Linked DNA regions of Caenorhabditis elegans. The protein of the gene in region 2 purifies or fractionates together with the protein of the main gene of each other region. This does not show direct contact. Each region holds a gene or a part of one and is shown on either strand. Other genes may lie near its edges.

Region 1 (8,571 bases), on a different chromosome or scaffold from region 2:
GCTTTTAAAAATTATAATTTGAAAAAAAATTGGGACTTTTTCAAAAAAAAAGCTTCCAAACGTCCCTATTAGGAAATGTAAACTTATTCCCAAAAAATTAAAAATTCCAGAGAAAGTAGACAAATTTCAGAAAACTTACCGCGCTACATCTAATACTTTCTCATAGGTTTTTTTATTGGGAAACTGATGAAAATTATTTGAATTCATAATAAAATAAATTCGTATTTAGCATTTGAAAATTTGCACCAATGTATTATTTAATTTTTTTTTTCGAAAATTTAACGCATTTTCTCTCTAAAAACTCGAAATTTAGTGTGTTCTAAACAACAGTAAGCATACAATACCTTTGTTCAAAATTGACGTGCTTTCTGAACCAATATGGTTAGTTTCAAAAATTTTTGTATTATAGGATAGAAATATTTGGAAATAAATTTTAAAACCAAACTTATGCCTTTCTCTTTTAGTATCCCAGCTAGGTAATATTTTAGTATTTGCCCAAATCCTTGAAGTAAGGAGTATATAATTTTTGAAAAACAATAAAACTCCAGATAATTCATAGTTTTTTCTCGAAAGAAAATTTTTGAGATTAGTTATTGAACTTCATTTTTGAACATTATTCGTTGAAAAACACTCGCTTTGTCTTTATTTTCAAAAAAATTCCGATTTCCCCAACCAGAAAAAAAAACAGATAGAAGAAATTTCTCCTTAAATTTCATTGTCCATCTCTCTTGGAAACACATTATCTATCAAATGAAAAACGCATTTTTTTTCCTGGCAGAAAAATGAAATTGGTTAGATTACACTGGTTAGGTTTGAAGGTGTAACTTTCGCTTTCTCAGCAACTTTCAGTATAAAAGGAAACGGTCACCATTTAGAAAGACATCAGTTCATCAACATGGGCAAGCTCATTGTGGTTGGATCCTGCGGAGTACTTGTGTGCGTTCTTGCCTCGCTTTACACCATCGGAAACCTTCTCAATGAGATCGAGGAGCTTCAAGTTGAGTTCCAGGATGGTATGGTTGAATTTAGAGTAAGTTTTACATAAAGGAAGTTAGTGTTGTTATCAATTCACTTTGTGTTCAGGCTATCACCCAAGACACCTGGGCTCGTATGGTGAGCAAGCACATCAACCCAACCGGACACACAAATGCTCCACCAACCTTTGAGACTCTCTTCGGAGCCCGTACCGCTCGTCAAGCTGGATTCGAGCAATGTAACTGCGGACCAAAATCCGAGGGTTGCCCAGCTGGACCACCAGGACCACCAGGAGAGGGTGGACAGAAGGGAAATCCAGGACACGATGGAGACGATGGAAAGCCAGGAGCTCCTGGAGTTATTGTTGCCATCACCCACGATATTCCAGGAGGATGCATCAAGTGCCCACCAGGACGTCCAGGACCAAAAGGACCATCAGGACTTCCAGGATCTGCTGGACCAGCCGGAGGAAACGGAAGACGCGGACCACCAGGACCAGTTGGAGGACCAGGAGAGCAAGGACCACAGGGAGATGCAGGAAGACCAGGAGCCGCCGGACGTCCAGGACCAGCAGGACCACGTGGAGAACCAGGAACCGAGTACAAGCCAGGACAGCCAGGACGTCCAGGACCACAAGGACCACGCGGAGAAACCGGACCAGCCGGAAATCCAGGAGCACCAGGAAACGATGGAGAGGCTGGAAAGAACGGAAACGCCGGAAGACCAGGACCACCAGGGCATCCAGGAAAGAATGGAGTTCCAGGACAAAAGGGAGAGGATGCCGCACCAGGACCAGATGCTGGATATTGTCCATGCCCATCTCGTGCAGCTTACAAGGCTTAATTCTGCCTTTCTCTGTCTTTTTTATAAATTTTCGAACATTCCAAATTGTGTTCTGTTTCTGCACTTTTTTTTAAATTGCAATTTCACATGCAAATCAAAATACTTCAGCTTTTCAAATCTGGCAAATTTCTTTTTTTTTTTAATTTGGAACACTTTTTAAAAACCAACTCTAAAAACCAACTACTAGAATTATTTACCAAAATAGAAAATTATACCAAGATTGTCCTTCGAAATATAGTCCAGTTAAAAAAATTTTTTTGCCGGGCAGCCCCAGTCCACCTGAAAATAAAGCCACCTACGTACCGTTTCATTATACAGAATTCCTCCATTTTCACAAAACCTTGCTGGCGTCGTCGAAACGTGCACGGAAGGTGTTGTGAATGTAATTTCACTTAGGTCACAGCTAAAGTCGTAGATTCTCTGGAACCTGTTTCCATCACTATCGTATCCTAGAAACCGACAATGAGAGAAGGGAGAAAATAGAAAGGAGAAATACCTCTGAACTTGGCATGATACAAGTTTTGAGACGTACAGTTATAAGATTGTTGAGTGATATGAGGGGTACTGCAGCCGTATCTGAAAAATGGTTTTTCTGCCAAAGCAATTATGTTCATGATTCATCTTTGTTAAATCTAAATGTTCAGGCTTTATTTTTGAATTAAAAAATGCTTCTGCAATATAAACATGTATTTTTTTCAACAGAAAAAAGTTTACTTTCCTTCAATTTTTTTGGATCATCCAAAATTGAATAATGTAGAAAAATTGATTCTATTGAATAATGTAGAAAAAAATTACTCAATTCCAAATTTTTATCACTCTCAAACATTCACCTCAAGTTCAAATCCATTTTCTGATCGAATAGGCCGTTTACATAAAGATGCACCTCATCGGGATGAATTGGAAATTCTTCACTCTCGACTTTAAATGCTAAAAATGCTGCCTGATTTTCAAGTGGGAAACGGAATATTCCTTGATTTGCAGTGGAAAATATTACTTTCTGAACGTCATCGTCACGAACATCCTCTACAAACCCACCATCAACTGTCAGCTTTGTTGGAGCTCGGACTTCAAATATACACGGTCTGAATGATTTTATTTTTAAATGAGATAAGATTTCAAGAGTCTTTTTTTGATTTTTTTTTCACAATTTGGGTCATCTTGTTTTAATTGTGTGCTCACTTGTTCAAATCTGCAGAGAGCTGAACCGTATACGCTCCAGTTCCGTGAACATTCTTTCCGTTGCAGATAAGGTGAATTGTTTGAGTGACGTCCGTGGTGATATCTTTGCATGTGGACACTTCGCCTCCAATCGGATTATAAACTGTTGCCCGCGGATTGAGGGCGTCGAGTGTATTGATAATTACAAAGAACTCTTCGATAAAATTGTCGACGTAAAAAGTGAAAGTGTCGGAGCAAGTCGCACTGAAGATATGTGTATGTATTATGAAACATGTTATTAATCTGGTATTGGTTCTCGAATAACGTAATGAAAATCCAGATAGAGTTTTAGATTATTATTAAATCGCAAATAGAAACCGGAAAAATGAAAAATGGCAATTTTACTATCAACAACAAGTTTCACGTTTTTGACAATTTTCGAGTATTTTTTTTCGAGTACTTTAAAACACGCCTATGGTACCAAAATAACCGAATATCATGATTAAAAAATTCAAAAAAAATTTCTAAATTTTATATGATTTTTTGAAAATTGAAAAAAATCTCAGTTTTTGCCTAATTCCGATTTGAATTTCCGCCTATTGAAGTTGTTCGATGGAGCGCACTTGCACGTTTTAATTTTAATTTATTGTTATTTTGAAAGAAAATGCATGCATTTAAACGATTTCGAACTTGAATTTACAGATTTCACAGACTCACGCTTGTGAATTAGCTTTTTAATCAAAAATTAGCATTTATTTTGACTTTTTCGTCAAATTTCAGACAAAACTACATTGAAAACATGGAAAATTGGTGAAAAATATGACAAAATAACAATAAATTAAAATTAAAACGTGCAAGTGCGCTCCATCGAACAAATCCAATTGGCGTAAACTCAAATCGGAATTAGGCAAAAACTGAGATTTTTTCAATTTTCAAATTTTAAAATTAGAAAAAATTTTTGCATTTTTTTATCATGATATTCGGTCATTTTGGTACCATAGGCGTGTTTTAAAGAAATTTCCCCACTGGCGCCACTCCACCTTTAACTAGAATTAACATTTTCCAGATTCTATTCCTAAATTTTAATGAAAACACTGAGTGAAAATGTCCCACAGGCTCAATTTTTAGAACTGCTGGTTAGCAATCTCCGAGCACTCCACGATTTTCTACAATATTCCCTACTAAAAATGTATACCTGAAATCACTCTCCACTAAATCACCAAATTTTGCAGTACCGTCATGAGGCAGTATATCAATTGACTTATTGTAGCATGTCACTGGAGAGGTTTGATCCAACAGTTTCGGTCTTGAAGAGAAGGTAGGTTGAACCCGTTGAGAAGGTTCCGATAGATTTAGTGCAACAAGTTGTTTGAGTTTCGAATTCACTGAAATTTAATCCCTCTGGCTAAAACTGGTCAAAAAACGTTTTCTGTAAAGATTTGAAGAGGTTCTATTAAATGTGTTGGCTTGGCCTAGCCAGAAAGAGAATCCACTGGCGTTTCCACCAAATTCACTCTTGAAAAAATTGTTCTTAGTTGGTTATTTAATTCATCAAATAAAAATTCCCGCTAGAAGCACAAAAGTGAGCTCAATACCTTTCGTGTAGTTGTGACTCGGACCAGAACTTATGATGTAAACATTTTTAAGTAAGCCTGCTGTGTTTTTTCAATATGTCAAACTTTTGCCAATATTTTCAATTTTACGTGTTTTTTACTTAAACTTACAGCTTTTCGTTAGTTCGCCGTGTTGACTTTTATTGGGAATACTTACTCCACTACAGACCCGCAGTAGTAGAATACTTGTAATTACAAATTTGAGCATTTTACTGAAAAATCGTCTTTATTTAGAAGATATTTCTTAATGTAATAATTAAATAAAACTAAATAAAATTGTTATCAGGTTTTTTTTGTTTGAAAAAGTTAGTTTATCCAATTGAGGCTCTTAAATTAGTTGTCACTGATAATGCGATTATACTCTTCCATTGGCAAGTTGTTCTCATCTAGAATTCGAATAGAGCAGAGGTTGATGTGTTGTGAAAATTCAGTTTAAAATGTTTACATTTCAGGAACTTCTGGAAAAGACAGTGGGAAACAGAAATAAAAATGGTTAAGCGTTCCACTTTGCTTCCAGCTGTTGTTTTTACAGTCGAGAACTTGCAGGTTTTTTGTTACTTACAAGTTTTTTTATTAATCAAACAATTTTTCATGTGATTTATTCAAGTGAGTTATGTTTTAACAGTTGTATTACACTGGCAACGTTCTATAAAGCTTTATAAATTTTTTAAACCACCAATGAAACTTTGTTTTCACTTTAAAAAATGTTTATTTATGCTATTTATAGGATTATTGCAAAGTTTCCGCAAAAGTATAAATAAAACTGCTTTAAAAAGATTTTGAGGCAATTGTTAAGACGTTTTAGGCTGAACAAAAATTCTGAAATATTTAAAAAAAAAAATTTATTAAATTGTTTTGCCTATTTTTAGACTTTATTAAAAGCATTACAAAATTGCAAACTTCCTCATTTGTAATAGTTGCAAACGTTACAAAAGCAGTGAAAACGTGCTCGGAGAATATCAAATCGACTTCTTTATATTCCATTGTTATTTTTTGATGAAAACCCGCTTTAAGTTCTTATAAATTCAATTTGAAAGTCTGAAAGTGAGTTAAATTACTTTCCTAGTGAGTATAACTGGACTGCATGTTGAAGTGGACGACCTCTTCCAAGGCAAACCTACAACGTGTACGTCCTTGCAAGATTTGACTGACAATCCAAGTTTATGGAAAACTTCTTTTCTTTTCAGTTCTGCAATATTTCGAAAATTCGAATAAATTATCCAGCTTTGAAATAATAATTGTTTTTTTTAGTCGAAACTTAGATTGCACCTGACAAGTTGTTAGCGGAAGGAAGTAACTTCAGTGCCAGATTTTAGAACGAGTTTTCACCAACCAAGTTTTTTGTCGCTCTAGATAGTGTTCTGAATATTTTTTTACAAAAAATTTGAAAAGGAAAACTCAACTCGTACCCCTGACATTTTTCTCAGACATTTTTTTTGGTGCACGCGTGAAATGGCTCAAAACTTTATTGTTAAAATAGGGAGCTTTTTTCTCCAAAAATAGCTTTTTAAAAGTTATAATTTCTTGAAAAGTCTGAAAATTTTCTCCTACAATCATGTCTGTTTTTATTTTTGTGTGCCAATTTTTTAAATAAAAAATTGACCATTTTTTGTAAAATTTTTTTTCTGAAAAAAAAAACTTTATTTCTCAAAACATTCAAATAAAAAGAAATAAACGTGGTTGTATGTCAAAATTCTGAATAAAAGTTTTTGGCATATAAAGGGCTGAAGCACAACTGAAAAGCAGAGAAAAGTTTAAATTTGACAAAAAAAATTGAGAAAACGGTGGGCAAGATTGATATTGGAAGTGGTAGACATAAAATTAAGATGAATAATATTGGAAAGTAGTGTGACGGTAAGAAGGGAAACATTGAAAAACCATTAAAACTATGTGATCTGTGGAACATTGAAAGAGACAAAGAAAGCGATGGGAAATTGTTGATTGAAAGAAAGAAGGAAATTAAAGCCGGCTTAATTTCCCATCAAGGTTAAACAAGACAAGAAGCGACTAGAAGTTTTGCAGAACGAAAGATGCGTCGAGATATACAGCTAGCGATTAGGTGTAGCTTACAGACAAAAATCACAGCTGGAATGAAAAATGAAGTAGTGATTTTGCTCTTCGTTGAAGAGAAATTGTGGGGCACTGAAGATCAGGAATTCAAGGGGTACACCAGTATGACGGTTAAAGAAGGAACTATTGATGTGAAAAACTTAATGTTCTTTCGAAATTAAAGATAATAAGATTTTGAAAAAAGTTGGAAATTTTAATTTTATACGAAAACCTTCTGCTCAAGCTTTTCCTGCATTCCATTCAACAATCGCTTGCATTTTGCACGTCGATTTTTGAACCAGATCTGCAATTCGAATTCGATAACTAGTAATCAGTATTAATATAGAATATTACCTTCACATTGTGCTGACTAATATGCGGATAATTCTCTCGATAAGCGCAGTTGTTCAAGCATTGTGTGTACTGATCGATTTGCATCCATGTCGGGTGAGGATTCTCTTCGAACCATTTTTCGAGGACGGGTAGCTCGGTGAGTGGGTCGAACATCAGGCGTGAGCGAGCCGCTGAAAACACTAAAACGGAGATTATTTGCTTTATCGTTGAATTTTTTCAAACGTTCCGCGTCAGTGATTTTATCGAAAAATAGAAGTAAAATTCCACCTTAAAGTTTTCTTGTCGAAAAGATAGAGAATTTTTATGCAGTCATTTTTCATATGCATAGCAAACGCAATCTAAGAGCGTTTTAGAGATAGCAACCAATATAGGTTTTCAGACTGAGTATCATGAACATGGCCACCTTCTCGATAAGTTTGAGCCAGTACAAAATCCCTAGAATATTTCTCAAAATCAAGTTTGCAGTTGATTTTCTGTTTTATTTCTGTAAACACAATACCTAGCCTCATTTTTTTTTCCTCAGATCTCAGTGATCGTAATGGTTGTCTGTGCGAAATTCGACGCCCCACATTTCTCCCTTTGTTATGTGTCTTCGCGCACTTTGTGTATGTCTATGTGTGTTTGTGTGTGTGTGCTCGCTTCTAATTTATGAGTTCTTGGTTCAACCCATCTCCCTCTCTTTTCCGTTAGCCTGTCTGTTTTAAAGCTCTTTGTTGTACCTGATGAGTTGGCGTTTTGCATGGAGTTGGTGGATGATGAGTGGGTGCTGAATGCTCCGAGGTCGAGCCCGCTGAGAAGCTTTGGGGAGGTCGAGGACAATGATTCGCGCATTGAGTTTGCCATATCCGGGGAGGATGCAATTGAATCCTGTAGGAAATGTTGCTTGTTTTGGGATGAATAATTTTTAAAGGTGGACCATAATTGTGTCGAAAAATATTTTTAATTGGCGCTCAGCCGACGCTGACAGTTTGGAATAAATTCAGATTTTCGGCCGTAGTGTTAGGTCTTTATAACCTTATCGGTAATATTTAGCAATTTGGGAGATGTTATCTTTAATGTGAATCAGAATCGAAATAGCCGAAAATCCGTTTTTAGCGTGATTTTTCAAAGCTTTTCAGCACGAGCAACGCTAATCAACCTAACTATGGCACAAACAGTCAAACGTAACTTACAATTTCCGGTTCTGGTTTAATATTGATGGAAAACAAAGTATCTTGAATAGTTTCATCTGAATTGCTATGAATCTCATCATCGGCTGGAGATGGCGAGTCGGAGCCGCCGACAATCTTGGTTTCATCCAGTTTGTCGTAAAAATCAAATTTTTGACGTTGTTCTCCAAACAGGGACTGGAGCAAGTTGAGTTGGAATCCCGGGAGCAGCTGCGCCGCTGTCTGAGCTGACGAGACCTGCACTAGGTCTACTGGAGCTAAGGTACGGGAACTCGAGCGTTTTTGTGTGAACCAATTGCAAATCTGGAAATTCATTTGATTAATGGAGTAATATGTAGGCGCATTAAATTCACCTGTTGATAGCTGATCTTGGAATTGTTCTTTCTGAACGGACTCTGATTGAGCTGGCT
Region 2 (7,679 bases):
TCCAGTCTTATTATTAGTTCAAATCGCCCAACCTTGCCACTTTTGGCGCCATCATTCTGTACATAGCCATCTCAATAACCGTACCGCCCGTTATTTCTGACATCGTGATTAAATATAACATGAGTAGGTAGAGACACTCCTGCTTATTCTCTAGATAATTGCCAGTTTTTCGACGAAAAATTGTGTCTGACCTCGACTATCCTGTCTAATTATGGGCAGGGATCGGGAAAGAATGGTTTGCAAAGTTTACACAAAAATATTCATGTTTTTGAGGAAAAACTGGGATTAATGAGATTAAGATTTCCTAGTATTTCTAGAAGAACAGAAAATTTTCAGGGAAAATTGAAAGTGTGAATATCATAAATTGATAGGAAAGAACAAGTCGAATATTTTCAGATTGTCTTGCTGATCTCGGGTTTATTCGGTGCTACTCAAAAACGACGTCCACTTCTTTACACTCTCCTCTCATCAAATGCTCTTTCCGTTACAATCAATGTGCTCATTTTCCTATGGTATATCGGAGTCTTCGGAGAAATTTCAAGACCATATCTTTCGGCTGGACTACCGTACTCTTCTTCGTTTTTCTTAAGATTCACACCATATTGTGATGCCGAGTTTGATGTGATAAGGTGAGCGATTTCATTTATTCTAATTGGAAATATGAAATAATCAAATGATTTCCAGAAAGAAATGGGTTCAAAAACAGTGTCTCATTCCATTCTACTCAGTCGAAGCATCTCAAGCAATTCTTCATATTATTTTTGCAATCGTAACTTCAATTTTCTCGATCTTAGTGATTGTGGAACTTCGAAAGAAACCAATAAGATCAAATTCCCAATCAATTAACCATTATGCTCAAATATGTGCATCAAAAGTTGCCAAAGCTCCAAGTTCCACGAATAATTCTAGCAGTGGATACCTCAATTCACAATATGACGACTTAGGATCTTCGAGAGAAAAAGTGAAAGTGACAGAGAAAAAAGAAGTCAAAGGACAATTCGAGAGAAATTCAAAGAAGAAGAAAAAGAATCCACGTCCAGAAATGCCAGCTCCAGATTGTGCTCCGTGTTCTTCAAATAGATCATCAGAAGAAGAAAGTAATTTGGAGGATGTGTACACACAGCCAATTAAAAAGAAAATTATGCCGTTGAGAGTAAGTTTGTTTGTTTTGAATTGGTTAAATGTTTCCATTTTCTATAATTTTATACATGATTTTCAAGTCGTTTTAGGTAGAAACTTTTGGCTACAACTTTTGAAAACTTGATGGTTAATTATTAAATTAGTACAAAATGGTTACTGTAGTCATTTAGTTGAATAAAATATTTCATTTCACAACTGCTATATTTTCTTTCAGAGACCTGACCTAGAAGAAGAAAATCGTGGAACTAATGTCACATCATTAGTCAGCTTCGACCCAAAAAGTGCGACTCTTTTGCGAATACGTCAGCATTTGGAGGCAGAGCCATCTGATAGAGATGTGAGTTTTCATGAATGATTTTCTATACAAAATATTTATATCAAGAGTTCATAGTTGAAATAATATCTATAATTTTCAGACGCCAGACTACGATATGTACGAACGACTCCGATCAAGATCTTCTGGACACTCTGAAGTTGCACCGGCTTCTACTATCCCTTTGAGTTCTGACTATAAATCAAGAAATGCTTCTCAAGATTCGGTTCCTTCAATGTTTGCTCCGATGCTCAACTCTCCAGCCCCATCTTCTACAACTTCTGGATCTTCTTCTAGAACATCTGGAGCTTCGTTGGCACACAAAACTCACATTGTTGGGAAAGGTGGAATTTCGTTATCAACTGTTGATCCATCCCCGATTCTTTCTCCAGGAATACGGTTATCGGAGCAACTAGGAGCCAAGAATCAGTCTTATAAAAGTGCATTCAGGGTCCAGAAAACTGAAAATGCTCGTGTTATAAGTCACTATCACGCTCCCAACGAAATTCCACTTTCCAGTGATCCATCGGTTGTTGAGAATGAATCTAACTATCCCGTGATGACTAGTGGTGGACTTCTTGTTTAATTTTGACTCAAATCTCATGTCTTGCCGTCTTTTTCTAGGCACTATATACGGGTTTATTCTTTCTTTTTTGTATTCTTTCTGCTTTTTTTAAAATAAATGTTTAAATAATTGAGCTCAATTTTTATTAGAACCAACAACAAGTGATAACAAATTACGATAGAGACCTACTAAAATTCGAAGAAAATTGCTGAAAACCGAACACGCTAGGAAAATTAAAACAATTACTTTGCCTTCTTGGCAAATTTATCATGACGAATCCACCATTCGTCCCAGTCGTTGTTCTTGTCATTTTTGAATGTTGGGAAGTGAACAAGTGGATCTGGATGAATATCTTGCAGACGTACACCAGCTCTCTCAACAGGCTTTCCAGGTTCATCTGTCCAGCTTTTGTACCATTGACGATAATCAAAGTTTCGGAATTCTACTCCAAATGTGATTGTTCCATGTTCTTTTGCTTTCAGAAGTTGTGCACGAAGTAGCGTGTACTGTTCACGACATAGTCCACTCTTCAGGATATCGATTGGTTGGTCGGTGCCATCTGCCAAAAATTGTTCAATGAGACCTGGGTTTCGGTAGTCGAAGTATAGATATTCGTCACGGCACACCTGTAATTCGTGAATTTGTTTGTTATATCTGCAAATGTTAGTTGCTGTTACAAAAACTTACTGGACAAGCATGATTTAGATTGAATCGGCCGTGTTTATCAATGCAGAAAAGTCTTGGAGGTGGTTGAAGTTTCGATTGACCCTGAATTTTCAATCAATTTATTTATTTTTCGAATTCAAATTACCTTGATGTTTCTCTTATACCATCTGTAAATCGGAAGTCCTTTGTAAGCCTCTGCGTATCCTGAAATATATTAAATAATTTAATTTTTAATTGGCATTCATGAAAGCTGTACACAAAGAATTCCTCTTATTTTGTTTTTGAAACTAAATTGAATATTACCTCGACTTTTCATATAGGAAATCTGCTCGGCAATACTGTGTTGTGGTTTGTACATTCCCTTCTTTCGTTCAACATGATTGTAAGCGTATCCGGCCTGAATATATCGATTTTTAAGTAAAATTGTTTATAAATTTAACATAGAAATTAGTTTAGTTCAAATATATTATCAGTTACCTCTTCTGGAGTCGGAACTTCTTTAGTTTTTCCTTCGCAAGCCAATCGGCAGGAAGAATGAATCAGCCTTCGTGCGAATGATCCCCCAGTGGCTAACATACCTGAAATACTGACTTAGACAACTTTTAAACAATTTAATTATATTTAAAAAGTACAAGCTTATAGCTTTAAATTACAATTAAAAACTTAAAAATAAAATAATATACTTTGTGCGTCAAGTTAAATGCGGTGTACGCAAGGAATGTGTGTTCACCGTCACGTCAAGTTGCACATTTTCGAACATCTTATTTTTCTCAAATTTTTATTCTTCTGTCTTGTTTAATCTTTTTTATGAATAGTTATTCACTAATTTAATATTTTTTAAATGTTTAGTTGTAAGAAAACTTTACAGAAATGGATTCGTGTCTAGAAACCATCAGAAACTTGCACGAGGAACGGGAACGATTAATCGATATAACTGTTAAGGAAAAAATTGCAGAAAAGTTAACGCATAAGGCCAAAGTTAATAGCGAACAGCGAGTGAAAACATTTGTCGATGTAAGAAATAACTGTTATGTTATTTCAATTCAATATTATTATTTTTCAGAGGTACTATTCAGTTTCCGCCGAGCTTGCCAAATTTTATAAAGATGAAGACGGTTCGAAGAGCATGGAAATGGATTCAGTTTCTGGTCCAAATGAGTTCGCCGAATTTTATTCAAGACTGAAGGTCATCAAAGATGCGCACAGAAGAAATCCAGACGAGGTTAGTTTTGTTATTTTCCCCGGAAACAATTAAGTTTGGTTGTAATATAATTTCTATACATTTTCAGCTTGCCGAACCACTCACCGTGGAGTTCCAAAAAATCAATGAAGAAATCATCAACCCTGAAAGAGCCGAGCCAGATATGGTTGAATTCAGTGATGAAGAAGCTTACGGTCGTTTTCTAGATCTTCATGCACAATACGACAAATTCATTAACTTGAAGAACATCAAAAGGGTTGATTACATGACGTATTTGTTGAATTTTGAGAAATTCACAGAGATACCGAAAAATACTACCAAGAAGACAGGAGCATATAAAGAATACATCAATTCCTTAAAAGACTATCTTGTTTCTTTCATGCAACGAACTCGCCCACTCCATGATCTCGATTCAGTTTTCTCTGAGGTTAATCAAACTGTAGAAAGAGCATTTAAAGCAGGGAATCTTCCTGGTTGGGAAGCTGATAAAAACAAGAACGGACCTCAAGCAGCTGCTGTGGATTTATCTCCATACAATAGTGCTGAAGAACTCGAGGGATTGGGATTGGAACGTTTGAAAGGAGCTCTCATGGCAATTGGTCTGAAATGTGGAGGGTGAGTTAAAAATATTTGGATTTTTTAATTGTAGTCCTCGTTATTTTTCAGAACTCTGAAAGAACGCGCTGATCGTCTTTTCGCTACCAAAGGGCATAAACTGTCAGATCTCGAAAAAGCAGCAATGTCTTCAAATAATTCCGATGCCGAAAAGCAGAACGCTAAAAATTTGACATTGGCACAAACGGAAGCTCATATTATGGCACTTGCTGATATTCTAGCTGAAGAACGTACTGGAACTCGCGAAAATGTCGAGAGAAAACAAGCTAGATCTGCTGGAGAGGTCGAAGAAGAGGAGGAGGAGGAAATTGTGGTAGGTTTGAATTATTTTCTCTAGTTATTTTTAGAAACATTTAAAAATTCATTTTTTAGATCGAGGAAGAGGAAGAAATTGATGAGAGTGCACCATATAATCCAAAAAATCTACCGCTTGGTTGGGATGGAAAGCCAATTCCGTATTGGTTGTACAAACTTCACGGCCTCAATCTATCATATTCATGTGAAATCTGTGGAAATCAAACTTACAAAGGTCCAAAGGCGTTCCAAAAGCATTTCAACGTAAGTTCATTATATTGGTCTCGTTCAAAAACTTGATATTTGCAGGAGTGGCGACATTCTCATGGAATGAGATGTCTTGGAATTCCGAATACCTCTCATTTCGCCAACATTACGAAGATCAAAGATGCACTGGATTTATGGAATAAATTGAAAACCGAAAAGGAGATGGCTAAATGGAATCCGGACATCGATGAGGAGTACGAGGACTCCAGCGGAAATGTGGTCACCAGGAAGATGTATGAGGATTTGAAAAGACAAGGACTTCTGTAGACGCTATTTTATGTATTCCATTGTTCTTCTAAGTTATTTTTTTTCCTTTTTAATCTTACATTTCTGTAAGTTTTTAACCAATTGGTCTCATTTTTCAAATTTAATGGATAAACTTTTTTGTAATTTTAGTACAATTGAAATAATTTATCGGTATATACAGTTTCAGATAAGTAGTGAGAAAGTTTAATACTCAAATGCAGGATTTGCCTTGAAATCAGCACATCCTAAACAGCTACAATATTGTTCTCCTTTTCCGCAATAGCCACTATTACTGCAACAGTAGGATTCAGAATCCGGATCACATTTTGGAATTTTTCCAGTAGAAAGTCGTGGAGCATTGTAACCACAACGACCTGAAGATATATTCTTATAAGTTGAATTGAGGGCCTGTTCCCTCACCAACGTTGGCTGGATTCTCAGAAAATGTCCACCATTCTAATGGTTTATATTTGAAATCTCTCTGTTTTGCAAAATCAATACATCCATTACATTCACAATGTTCCTTTGAATTTCCACAGTAACCTCCATTACTACAACAATGAGCATTAGCATCATCTGGATTACAAGTTGGCGCTTCTCCTTCTAAAGGTGGAACATCTCGACCACATCGTCCACGTTTCCCTTCTCCAGCATCCGATGTGTACCATGTGATCTTTTGGCTTGGTTTCACTGGTTCTTTCAAAATTAAATTTGGATCTGCACCATAGTCAATACATTCAGGACAAGAACAGAATTCTGCACCGGAACCGCAATAGCCATACTGCAAAACGGTATTATGAAGCCTTTCACGGTGGTACTAACCTTTCCACAACAAGCATGACCTGGATCATCTGGATCACAAACGGGATAATATCCATCAATCAATGGAGACGATTTTCCACACATTCCAGCCAATTCCTCATTATCATCATATGTCCACCATCTTTTGTCGTCTACTGGAGAACACTTGTAGTTGAATGACTTTGTTGATGTGGTACAAATAGATTCAGCTGCAGCAGAGTTCAGAAGGGTACCTTGATCATCATCAAAGTCAATTGCCCATATCATAACTCCTCCAATATTATTTTCAACTATATAATCAACTTTATGTTTGAGACTTTCAGCATTTTCATATCCAACAAAGGTTTTTTGTTCAGAAAGCCAAATGAATGGGGTTTTGGATCCAGAATGAAACTTGGTTTTTGTAGTATCAAATTTCTCGTGCAGATCTCTCCATTGAACATCTCCACCTTCAAATTTTGTGCCTTCTGAATTAGTTGCCGTAGCAGTTCTCCACATATCATCTGTTGAGTCAACAGCATCACCCACATTCTTCCAGAAACGACCATAGAATGGGACACCCATATTTATCTGGAAGTTGATTAACGGTTACGGTAACTCAAATACCAAAATGTTTCTTACCTTATCAGTTGCTTTTATTTGGCAACTGTAGTCTTTCATCGTGGCATGTACGTTCATTCTTCCAGAGAATCTAAAAAATTATTTCGTTGCTCTTCGCTTCCCCTTACTAATTTTAGCTCACTTTTTCGGCATAGCAAACTGTAATGGTGCTGGGGGTCCAGTGTATGCACCCCATTTCGAAGCCCATGCTCCAAAATAATCATAACTCATAACATTCACAAAATCACAATATTTCATCAATTGTTGTAGATCGTATCCTGGTTTCAAGACCCAATGTCCTGCTGCTCCAGCGAACGATATGAGATACGACTTTCCTGTTTCGGATTCCAAATCTCTCAACTCATTTCGAAGTTCTCTCATCAAGTTTACATAATTCCTTCGATCAGCTGGAGTACCCTCAACAGCACCGCCTGTTACGGGATATTCCCAGTCAATATCAACACCGTCAAAACCGTACTCTTTAATAACTTTGACAAAGTTCGAGATTAAAATTGATCTGAAATTTTATGTGTTTTCTAGATCACGCCTTTGACACACCTTCTAGAGTGATCTGCAGTTAAAACGGAAAAATATTGAGAGTTTTCCCAGCCTCCAACAGCGTACAAAAGCTTGAGATCTGGATGACGAGATGCAACCTAAGATATCAAATATCATTTTAAAAACCTATAACTTTTAAATAGTTTTTGACAATACCTCTTTAACATGTTCCAATCTTGCTTTTGCAGCATCTCCTTCCAACTTGACACTTCCATCTGAATCGACGACGAAGAAGGCGAAAACTAAGTGTGTCAGCTTTTCAGCCTTAATTTGAAAGTGTTAACTGAAAAGTTTATAAAAATACCTGATCATCTCTAAATGGATGTTTGCCCCACGATGTAATATAACCAACTCTTCGTCTTCCACAAGATCGGTCTAGGATTCCACCATTGGACACTGAAATTTTTTAAATA
Region 3 (8,419 bases), on a different chromosome or scaffold from region 2:
AGTTGTTCATAATCGCGTGGCAAGGTCATGGCGTGGAACGTGTTGTTGTCATCCTCTGCTGCTCCTTGTGTGCATCCATCCGGATTTCACGGCGTAAATGGTTCACGTGGTTGTTCCTTATATGTATCGACTGTACGGTTGTCCCTTGAGCAATGGTGATAGATGTGCTCGATGTTGCTAGCGTCCATTGTAGAGTGCATAATTATGCAATAATTATGAAAGTCGTGATCGTTGGAGATTCTTCTCCATCGTATTCGCGACAGTTTCTTTTAACGATAGCATTGTAGCGACTTTCGAAAAATCCGAGAATAGAAACCCCGGCGACACACATTGAAACTATGAACATGTGCCCTTGGATAATGGAGGATACACCAAGATCTGTGAGTATTCCACGCATGTAGCCACCGAATACCGGTACGAGGTAGTATTGGGTGGATAGGGCACTGAGGAATAAGTCCAGGAAGGCACTACTGGAAAGATTTGAATTGTTGTCAAAGGAGCATATCCTCACTTTATGGGGCTATTTAAGTAGTGTCGGAAAATTAAAAAGTGCTGAAAAATATTGTAACAGCTGTATTTAAACACACACTTTATACATAGTCCATTTGCCGTTATCGGTCATTCGTTAGCCGATTTTGATCGAATTACAAATTCAGGGTCTTGTTAAGAAAAACGTGTGCAATTTTACAAGTTTTTTATTCATGTTCCTCAATAGTTATTATTTTGTTCTAAATACACTTCTAATACACTTTGGAAGTAAATAAGACATCAACATTTATTGATAAATTCATTATGTTTATCCGAAAAATATCCGCGTATAAAGTATAAAAGTAAAGTATATGGCATTTTCAGATGTGTATCTTACTAGTCCCATGTTAATTCGTTAACGAAGAACTATGCTTTAAAGTTCAAAATTAAATTTTGTAATCAATATGATTGGAAAAATCAATCTGACTACAAACTACAAAGACCTACCAAAAATGCATGAACACCATCATCCATTTAACAGAAGCCATTGTCGGTGGAGTTTTGAATATGACTATATAAGAAGCTAACAAGTGAATTGGAATTTCTATCATTGCAATTGGATGAAGAACTGACGGAGCAAATGTGTCAAGCTCATACGTGGAATTTCTCCACAGGCACATGAATAGTATGGGCAAATTATGATGATGTTAAGCACCAGAGCAATAGATGTGTGTCTCAGACTAACCTACATACAACAATAATGAATATCCAACATTCAAGAAGTAGATGTTTCATTTTATAAAGGCCAACAGCACTAACAATTAGTAGTAGTTTCACGGAAAACTTATCTGAAATGTCATGAATCGTGAAATTTTGTTGCTTTCACGCCATTCATCATCGCATGTACTTTTTTTTTTAATAATGGATGTTTTTGTACCTATGCTTTTATTTTAATACTTAGCGTATTTTTCTATTTTTAGCGTGATTATATATTAATCATATCATATGTAATCGCCAGCAAAATTTACTAGTGTTCTGAAGCGCTTCATGAAGTACTTTTCCCAAATTAAAGAAAAAACTTTGAAACACTATGGAAAAATGACCAACAGTACTATCATAGAGAATATACGGTATGTATGTATGTATATGACACTAATTAATTAATATACGCGTATATATGTGTATATGCCCTCTTTCTAAAATTTTTCATAGATTTTTTAAAAATTTTGCAACAAAAAAACATAGTAAAATTAAGTCGTATAACTATGTTCTAAATTCAAAAAAGAACTCGATGCAGTTTCAAATGTCCCCCAATCTTTTCTGAACACCTATACAACATAATTACATGTACACATTATTATAACTAAATAATAATAAAGTGACCTCTCTCTCTCTCCCACTCCTGCGTCTCTTAATCCCTTCGTATTCATTTTATATTCCGTGACCGCGCGAAAGATTGCGGTCGGCGATAAAATAATTCGATATTCCGGGGGCGATTCTGATCAAACGACGTTATTCCACGTTATATTGCGATGACTAAGTTGTTCGAATTGAAGGTGAGTCGTTTTATTAGTTTGGTCTGCTACACTACAAACTACACAAAATGTTGGCAGACCCAATCGGTTTTTTTTTTGCATTTTTCGCGGGTTCCGGTGGGTTTTCTTCAAAAAATAGTTTGTAGTCCAGAAAACCCACAATACTATTCCTTCTCGACTATGTCGATAAATGTCGTTGGTCTGCTACACTACAAACTACAAGTTTTGCCAGACCAAACCGATTTTTTTCGTCATTTTTCGGCTTTTCATACCAATTTTTTGTAGTTTGTAGTCCAGCAGACCCAATAGACTCTATAAGTCGAAAAAGCTTTTGGTCTGCTACACTACAAACTACAAGTTTTGGCAGACCCAACGGATTTTTATTAATTTTTTGTGGGTTTTGTCATTTATAGACCGTTTTCAGCTTATCAGACCATATTTTTTGTATTTTGTAGTCTGACAAACCGAATGACTGTAAATGTTTAAAAAAAAAGGCACTACGGTCTGCTAGACTACATTTTCAGCCGGTTCACGTGATTTTTTGGGTTTAATTCAAATTTTTTGTTTTTCCAATATACTTTTTTTCCAAAAAATAAAAAACTTTTAAACCAAAATTTGAGAAAAAAAAGTTTTTCTAATTTTTAAAGGTTTTCCTTCGAAATTTCACCGATTTTCTCAAATTTTTCGAGCTTTCCCAGGTTTTTAATATTGCTCTTTCAGATTTTCTACTTAATTTTCCACTAAACTTCCATTTTCCCCGGTTTTCAGTCCTTTTTTCGACTCATTTCTGTTTATTCTCCAAATTGGTGTCTGCAAGCGCGCCCCATCGCACTTTCGCTTTCGAAACTAAAAATAATAAATGCGTTGCGGAAAACCGATAAATTCTCGATTTTCGCCGATTTTCTTGATTTTTAAGCTATTTTTATTGTTTTTCATTGAAAAATTCGATTTTTTCGTTAATTTTGCATTATTTTAATGGCAAAAATCGCAAAAACCATAGAAAAATGTCTGCGAGCCGGGGTTTTTGAGAATTGGCGTTAAAAACGAAGATTCCCCGGGTTTAACGCGTTGTAACCTGTTTTTTGCTGCAAAATTCGAGTCTTACGTTATTTTTTCAACTTTTTAACATAGAAATTAATCGGAAAATGTAGAAAATTGATGGAAAACTTGGATTTTTGGATAATTAAAAAAAAAAATTGATTTTCGCCAGATTTTCGAGATTTCTACCATTTTTCTAGATTTTAATTCAATTTTACCCCAAAATTACCAGCTAAAAGTCATTTTCCCGAACATTCCCATCTCATTTTACACCTTGAACCACTAGAAGCATTTTTTAGTGTAATAAAAAACATATGTCCACCTATCGGGCCACTTTTTTGCCTCCCAGGCCGTAGGTGTACTATTATCTTCTCGTATTTCACTAATTCCAAAGAAAATGCCGAAAACTAGTCGAAAAATGGTGGAATTTGAGGTAAAAATGCTGAAAATTAACAATTTTGGTTCAGAAAATTCCCATTTTAGCCGAAAAATATGCAAAAACCCGACATTTTCTTCAATCTTTCCCGAAAAACCATTAAAAGATCCCATTAAAAAATCAATAATCCTTCAGGTTGAACCATGGCGACGACAATTCCAGGATCACTGGTCAATAAGACCAAAAAATTCTTTATGGGAATGCCAGCACCAACAGGATATGTTCCTGGAGTTGGTAGAGGTGAGAAATCGCAAAAAATTTTGTGAAAATTCGAAAAAAATCCGAAAAAACTCCAAAAATAGCTGAAAAACAGCGAAAAAATCGATTTGGTCTGCCAAATAATGGTCGTAGTTTGTAGTCCAGCAGACCCAAAGCTTTTGGGTCTGCCAGACTACAAACTACACGTTTTCAAGCGATTTTTAGCAAAATTTGCAGTTTTTTCAATACAAAACTGGGAAATTCACGTTTTTTATTGAATTTTACAGTTTCAGGGCAAAATCCAAAATTTTCAACAAAATCACTGAAAAATACGCTAAAAACAAAAAATCCGCCAAAATTCGGTCGAAAATGTAGTTTGTAGTCTAGCAGACCCATACGCTCGATTTGGGTCTGCTAGACTACAAACTACACTTTTCGACAAAATTTTACAATTTCAAGCGATTTTCTTGATTTTTTTTTTGTGAAAATTTGCGAATTTTTATGGAATTTTTCTAAATCGGTTTTTTTCCAATAAATTTGTGAATTTCTTGGGTTTTGTGCGAAAATTGGTTCTAAAACGTGTAGTTTGTAGTCTAGCAGACCCAAAACTGGTCTGCCAGGCTACAAACTACATATTTCGATTAAATTTTGCTGTTTATCGGCGATTTTCTGCAATTTTCCAATAAAAATTCACAAATTTTGGAAAAAATCCCTTCAAAACTGAGAAGAAGCGCTCAGAAAATTAATATTCAGTTGTAGTTTGTAGTCTACCAGAACTATGCAAGACTACAAATTACAAACTACAGAAATTATAAATTTTCTGCATCGAATTTTTAAAAAAATGCAAAAAACACACATTTTCGGCGAACAACGAAAAATGGTCTGCTAATGGTTTTTTGTAGTATTTGTAGTCTGGCAGACCCAATCTTTGTGGCGATGGTCTGCTAGACTACAAACTACAAAATCTCGCCATTCCTGCAATTTTCGTCAAAAAATCACTTTTTTGCAGCGTTATTTTTTGCAAAAAACATAAGATTTGATATATATACATATATTTTCAAATAATATTGTAGTTTGTAGTCTAGCAGGCCCAAAGTTTTTTGGTCTGCTAGACTACAAACTATAAAATCGCAGGTTTTCTCAGATAAATCGTTCAATCTCAGCCACTTTTCGTTAAAAAATCATATTTTGTCGAATTTTCGGCAAAATTAAATAAATATATATATTGTTATTAAAATAATATATTATAGTTTGTAGTCTAATAACAGACCTCTAAAATCATTATAATTCCACAGGTGCCACTGGCTTCACAACTCGTTCTGACATTGGTCCAGCACGTGATCCCACTGAACTACCAGAAGCCGGACCAGTCGGACCATCACCACAAGGAGCTTCATCGTCATCAGCTCCACCAGCAAAGCGAGCCCGGGATGATGATGGAGATGGAGAAGATCTGAACGAGGCGAATTATGATGAATTTTCGGGTTATAGTGGAAGTTTGTTCTCGAAAGATCCGTATGATCAGGAGGATGAGGATGCTGATCGTATTTATAATGAGGTTGATGATCGATTGGATGAACGGCATAAGGAACGGAGGTGCACAGGAAGACCACCTAAAACTACAAAAAACACCTCTTTTTAGGGGCTGAAAACATGACAATTTTGAGATTTTTCAGCGAAAATACGTTAAAAATCGCATGAATTGCGAGATTTTGTAGTTTGTAGTCTCTCAGCAGGCCATACCCAATGGGTCTGCTCGACTACAAATACTACAAAAAACATTCAAAATTTTGAATTTTAGCAGGCCAGGACTACAAGCTACACCTTTTTTTTTCGAAATTTTTCAAATTTTCATTAGAAATCGAGTAAAAATGCGGAGAATTTCAGAAAATCGCCGAGCGAAAAGTGTAGTTTGTAGTCTAGCAGACCAATTTGGTCTGCTAGACTACAAACTACATGTTTTAGAGCCAATTTTCGCACTAAAGCCGATAGATCCACAAATTTTTTAAAATTTAAAACGAAATTTCGATTTTTAAACGAAAAAATCGAAAAACTGGGAAAATTGCTCGAAAAATTGTAAAATTCTAGCGAAATGTGTAGTTTGTAGTCTGGCAGACCTTCGCCAAAACTATTTGGTCTGCTAGACTACAAACTACACGTTTTAGAACGAAAATTCGATTTTTCAAGAAAATTCCAGAAAAATCCGCTTATTTGCACGAAAAACTGGGAAAATCGCTTAAAAATCGTAAAATTCTGGCGAAATGTGTAGTTCGTAGTCTGGCAGACCCATTTTCCCAATTTGGGTCTGCAAGACTACAAACTACAATTATACGCTGTTAGCTTATTCGTTTTAACGACTTTTTGTCGAAAATCTCTTTGAAATGCGTGAAAATTATCTTTTTTTTCGCATTTTTGTAAAAAAAATCAGGTGATTTTGCCAAAAATCCGGCAAAAATTGATTATTTCATCGAAAAATTGCTATTTTTGCATAATTTCCCGTCAAAAAATGATTAAAAGTTGACGTTTTATGCGAAAAACCGATTGTGAACAGCTATTTTTGTAGTTTGTAGTCTCTGCAGACCATTGCCAAAACTATTTGGTCTGCTAGACTACAAATACTACAAAAACATTAGCAGACCCAATTTTTTTTTTCTTCAAAATTGGAAGCTTTCCGCCGAAAATCGAGTTTTTTTTTTGGATTTTTTACAAAAATCCGATTAAGAAAATTTAATAATAATTTCTTCAAGTTTGTAGTTTGTAGTCTCTGCAGACCACCAAATTCATTGATTTTTGGTGTCTCTTTTATACAATATTTGCACACACACTTGTTCGACAAATATCCTTTTTTTTTCAGAGAGAAAAAGTACAAGGAGCTCGTCGAACTCTTCCATAAAGACCGCCCGAAAATTCAACAAGGATTTCAGGATTTGAAGAGACAATTGGCTGAGGTATAGGCGATTTTTGAGTGAAAAAATTGCATTTTCATCGAAAATTTCAGCTTTTTTTATCGAAATTTAGCTCAAAAACCTCTAAAAATGGGGGTTTCGCTTCAAATTTGATGGAAAAAACTCGAAAAATAACGAATTTCCACTCAAAATCACTAAATTTTTTCTCGTAAAAACTGTTAAAACTTCATATTAGGTCTCCAAATAAATTCCGGGTCAAAAATCATAACTTTGTTCGCTGCAAATCGATTTTTATAAAACTTTAGGAATTTATGTTATCAACCATGATCTTTCATTTGACAATAGTCACAAAATTTTTTGACCGTCCGAAGTGCCCTAACTCGGAGGCAAATTTTTCAGGCATTTTTCAGATCTCGCTTTTTTTAACCTTTGAATTGAGGTTTGTGTGCGGATTTTGCTTTGTTTAGTACACAATGTAAGAAAACAAAAAAAGTTTGGAAAAAAATCCGTCCAAAAAAATTTTTGTCGAAAATTCTTGATCTTTTATACAAATATGATGTAACCATGTGCAAACTATTTTTACACATACAAAACATTTCAATTTAGTGCGTCACACTGAAATAATAGCAGAAAACATATATTTTTCGAAATATTTTTGAGTTTTTGGAGTATTTCTCGAGATCCAAATTTCATACTCAAATGTTTTGTATGTGTAAAAATAGTTTGCACATGGTTACATCATTTTTGTATAAAAAATCAAGAATTTTCGACAAAAATTTTTTTGAAGATTTTTTGAAGATCGACAAAAAATAAATTTTTTAGACGGATTTTTTCCCAAACTTTTTTTGTTTTCTTACATTGTGTACTAAACTAAGCAAAATCCGCACACAAAGCTCAATTGAAACCTGAAAAGAAGCAAGATCTGAAAAATGTCTGAAAAAATTGGCTCTGAGTTAGGGCACTTCGGACGGTCAAAAAATTTTGTGACTATTGTCAAATGAAAGATCATGGTTGATAACATAAATTCCTAAAGTTTTATAAAAATCGATTTGCAGCGAACAAAGTTATGATTTTTGACCCGAAACTTATTTGGAGACCTAATAGATTCACGAATTCCACCAAAATTCCCTTTTTCAGGTAACCGAAGATGAATGGCAAGCGATTCCAGAAGTCGGTGATATGCGTAACAAGGCAAAACGTAACGCCCGTGCCGAGAAATTCACTCCCGTTCCTGATTCAATTATTGCGATGAACATGAATTATGGACAAATGAGCCATTCAATTGATTCGGGAAATGGTCTCACAACGCCTTTTGCCAGTGGATTCATGTCTACGTTGGGTGGTGGTGGTGGAGCAGCTGCTGCTGGAGCAAAAAGTACGGCTGGAAATATTTCTGAAATTGAGCAGAGAAATTGCTGAAAATTGTGAAAAAAACCGATTTTTAGGCCAAAAATTGACCAAGACACGACACGGAATCAGACACGGAATTTGAAAATTTTCAATGGAACTGAAAAATTTTCCCGAAATTTGTAGTAGAAATTGCCGAAAATTGGGGAAAGTAACCAATTTTTAGGTTAAAAATTGATATATTTCAATGATCTAATTCCACAGGAAATTGAATTTTTGGCCAAAAATTTGAATAGAAAAATCAATAATTCCCGCAGAATACCCCTTGAAAATTGAGAAATCTAAATAAAAACTCAATTTTCCTTGTAAAAATCTTAGTAAGGAAGTAAGGAAAAAAAGTAAGGAATTGGCTGAAAAATGGGAGAAAAAGCAAAAAAAACCTCAAAAATTCTCCTTTAAAAATAGCATTTTCCCGTGTATTTATATGCAAA

What was found. Proteins that work in one complex are often made in the same cells at the same time.
Region 1: the proteins of prp-9 (region 2) and hrg-11.4 fractionate together in Caenorhabditis elegans (co-fractionation; one large-scale study listed by BioGRID). This does not show direct contact.
Region 3: the proteins of prp-9 (region 2) and prp-6 fractionate together in Caenorhabditis elegans (co-fractionation; one large-scale study listed by BioGRID). This does not show direct contact.

The regions. Positions count from the first base shown.
Region 1 is NC_003284.9:420,829-429,399, forward strand, and holds the start of hrg-11.4 (VWFA domain-containing protein), read right to left. Parts: upstream 4,808-8,571; 5' UTR 4,798-4,807; coding exon 4,701-4,797; intron 4,362-4,700; coding exon 4,172-4,361; intron 3,241-4,171; coding exon 2,998-3,240; intron 2,901-2,997; coding exon 2,649-2,900; intron 2,395-2,648; coding exon 2,315-2,394; intron 2,268-2,314; coding exon 2,122-2,267; intron 1,864-2,121; exon of another isoform or gene 1,819-1,863; coding exon of another isoform or gene 1,084-1,818; intron 1,031-1,083; coding exon of another isoform or gene 896-1,030; exon of another isoform or gene 879-895; intron 1-878. Other genes in the region: col-19 (Cuticle collagen 19), read left to right, coding at 896-1,030, 1,084-1,818; Homeobox protein dve-1, read right to left, coding at 6,859-6,942, 6,993-7,171, 7,712-7,859, 8,165-8,464, 8,515-8,571.
Region 2 is NC_003280.10:8,521,270-8,528,948, reverse strand, and holds prp-9 (Matrin-type domain-containing protein), read left to right. Parts: upstream 1-3,552; 5' UTR 3,553-3,554; coding exon 3,555-3,698; intron 3,699-3,747; coding exon 3,748-3,906; intron 3,907-3,973; coding exon 3,974-4,500; intron 4,501-4,551; coding exon 4,552-4,813; intron 4,814-4,872; coding exon 4,873-5,058; intron 5,059-5,103; coding exon 5,104-5,328; 3' UTR 5,329-5,455; downstream 5,456-7,679. Other genes in the region: gldi-7 (Sodium/potassium-transporting ATPase subunit beta-1-interacting protein), read left to right, coding at 397-629, 685-1,153, 1,355-1,477, 1,557-2,039; mrps-18B (28S ribosomal protein S18-2, mitochondrial), read right to left, coding at 2,261-2,644, 2,706-2,786, 2,830-2,888, 2,988-3,081, 3,162-3,260; cht-2 (GH18 domain-containing protein), read right to left, coding at 5,512-5,681, 5,728-6,088, 6,130-6,678, 6,730-6,799, 6,851-7,225, 7,267-7,364, 7,423-7,530, 7,571-7,662.
Region 3 is NC_003283.11:18,018,867-18,027,285, forward strand, and holds the start of prp-6 (Pre-mRNA-processing factor 6), read left to right. Parts: upstream 1-3,612; 5' UTR 3,613-3,620; coding exon 3,621-3,717; intron 3,718-4,970; coding exon 4,971-5,271; intron 5,272-5,770; exon of another isoform or gene 5,771-5,834; intron 5,835-6,529; coding exon 6,530-6,623; intron 6,624-7,718; coding exon 7,719-7,956; intron 7,957-8,419.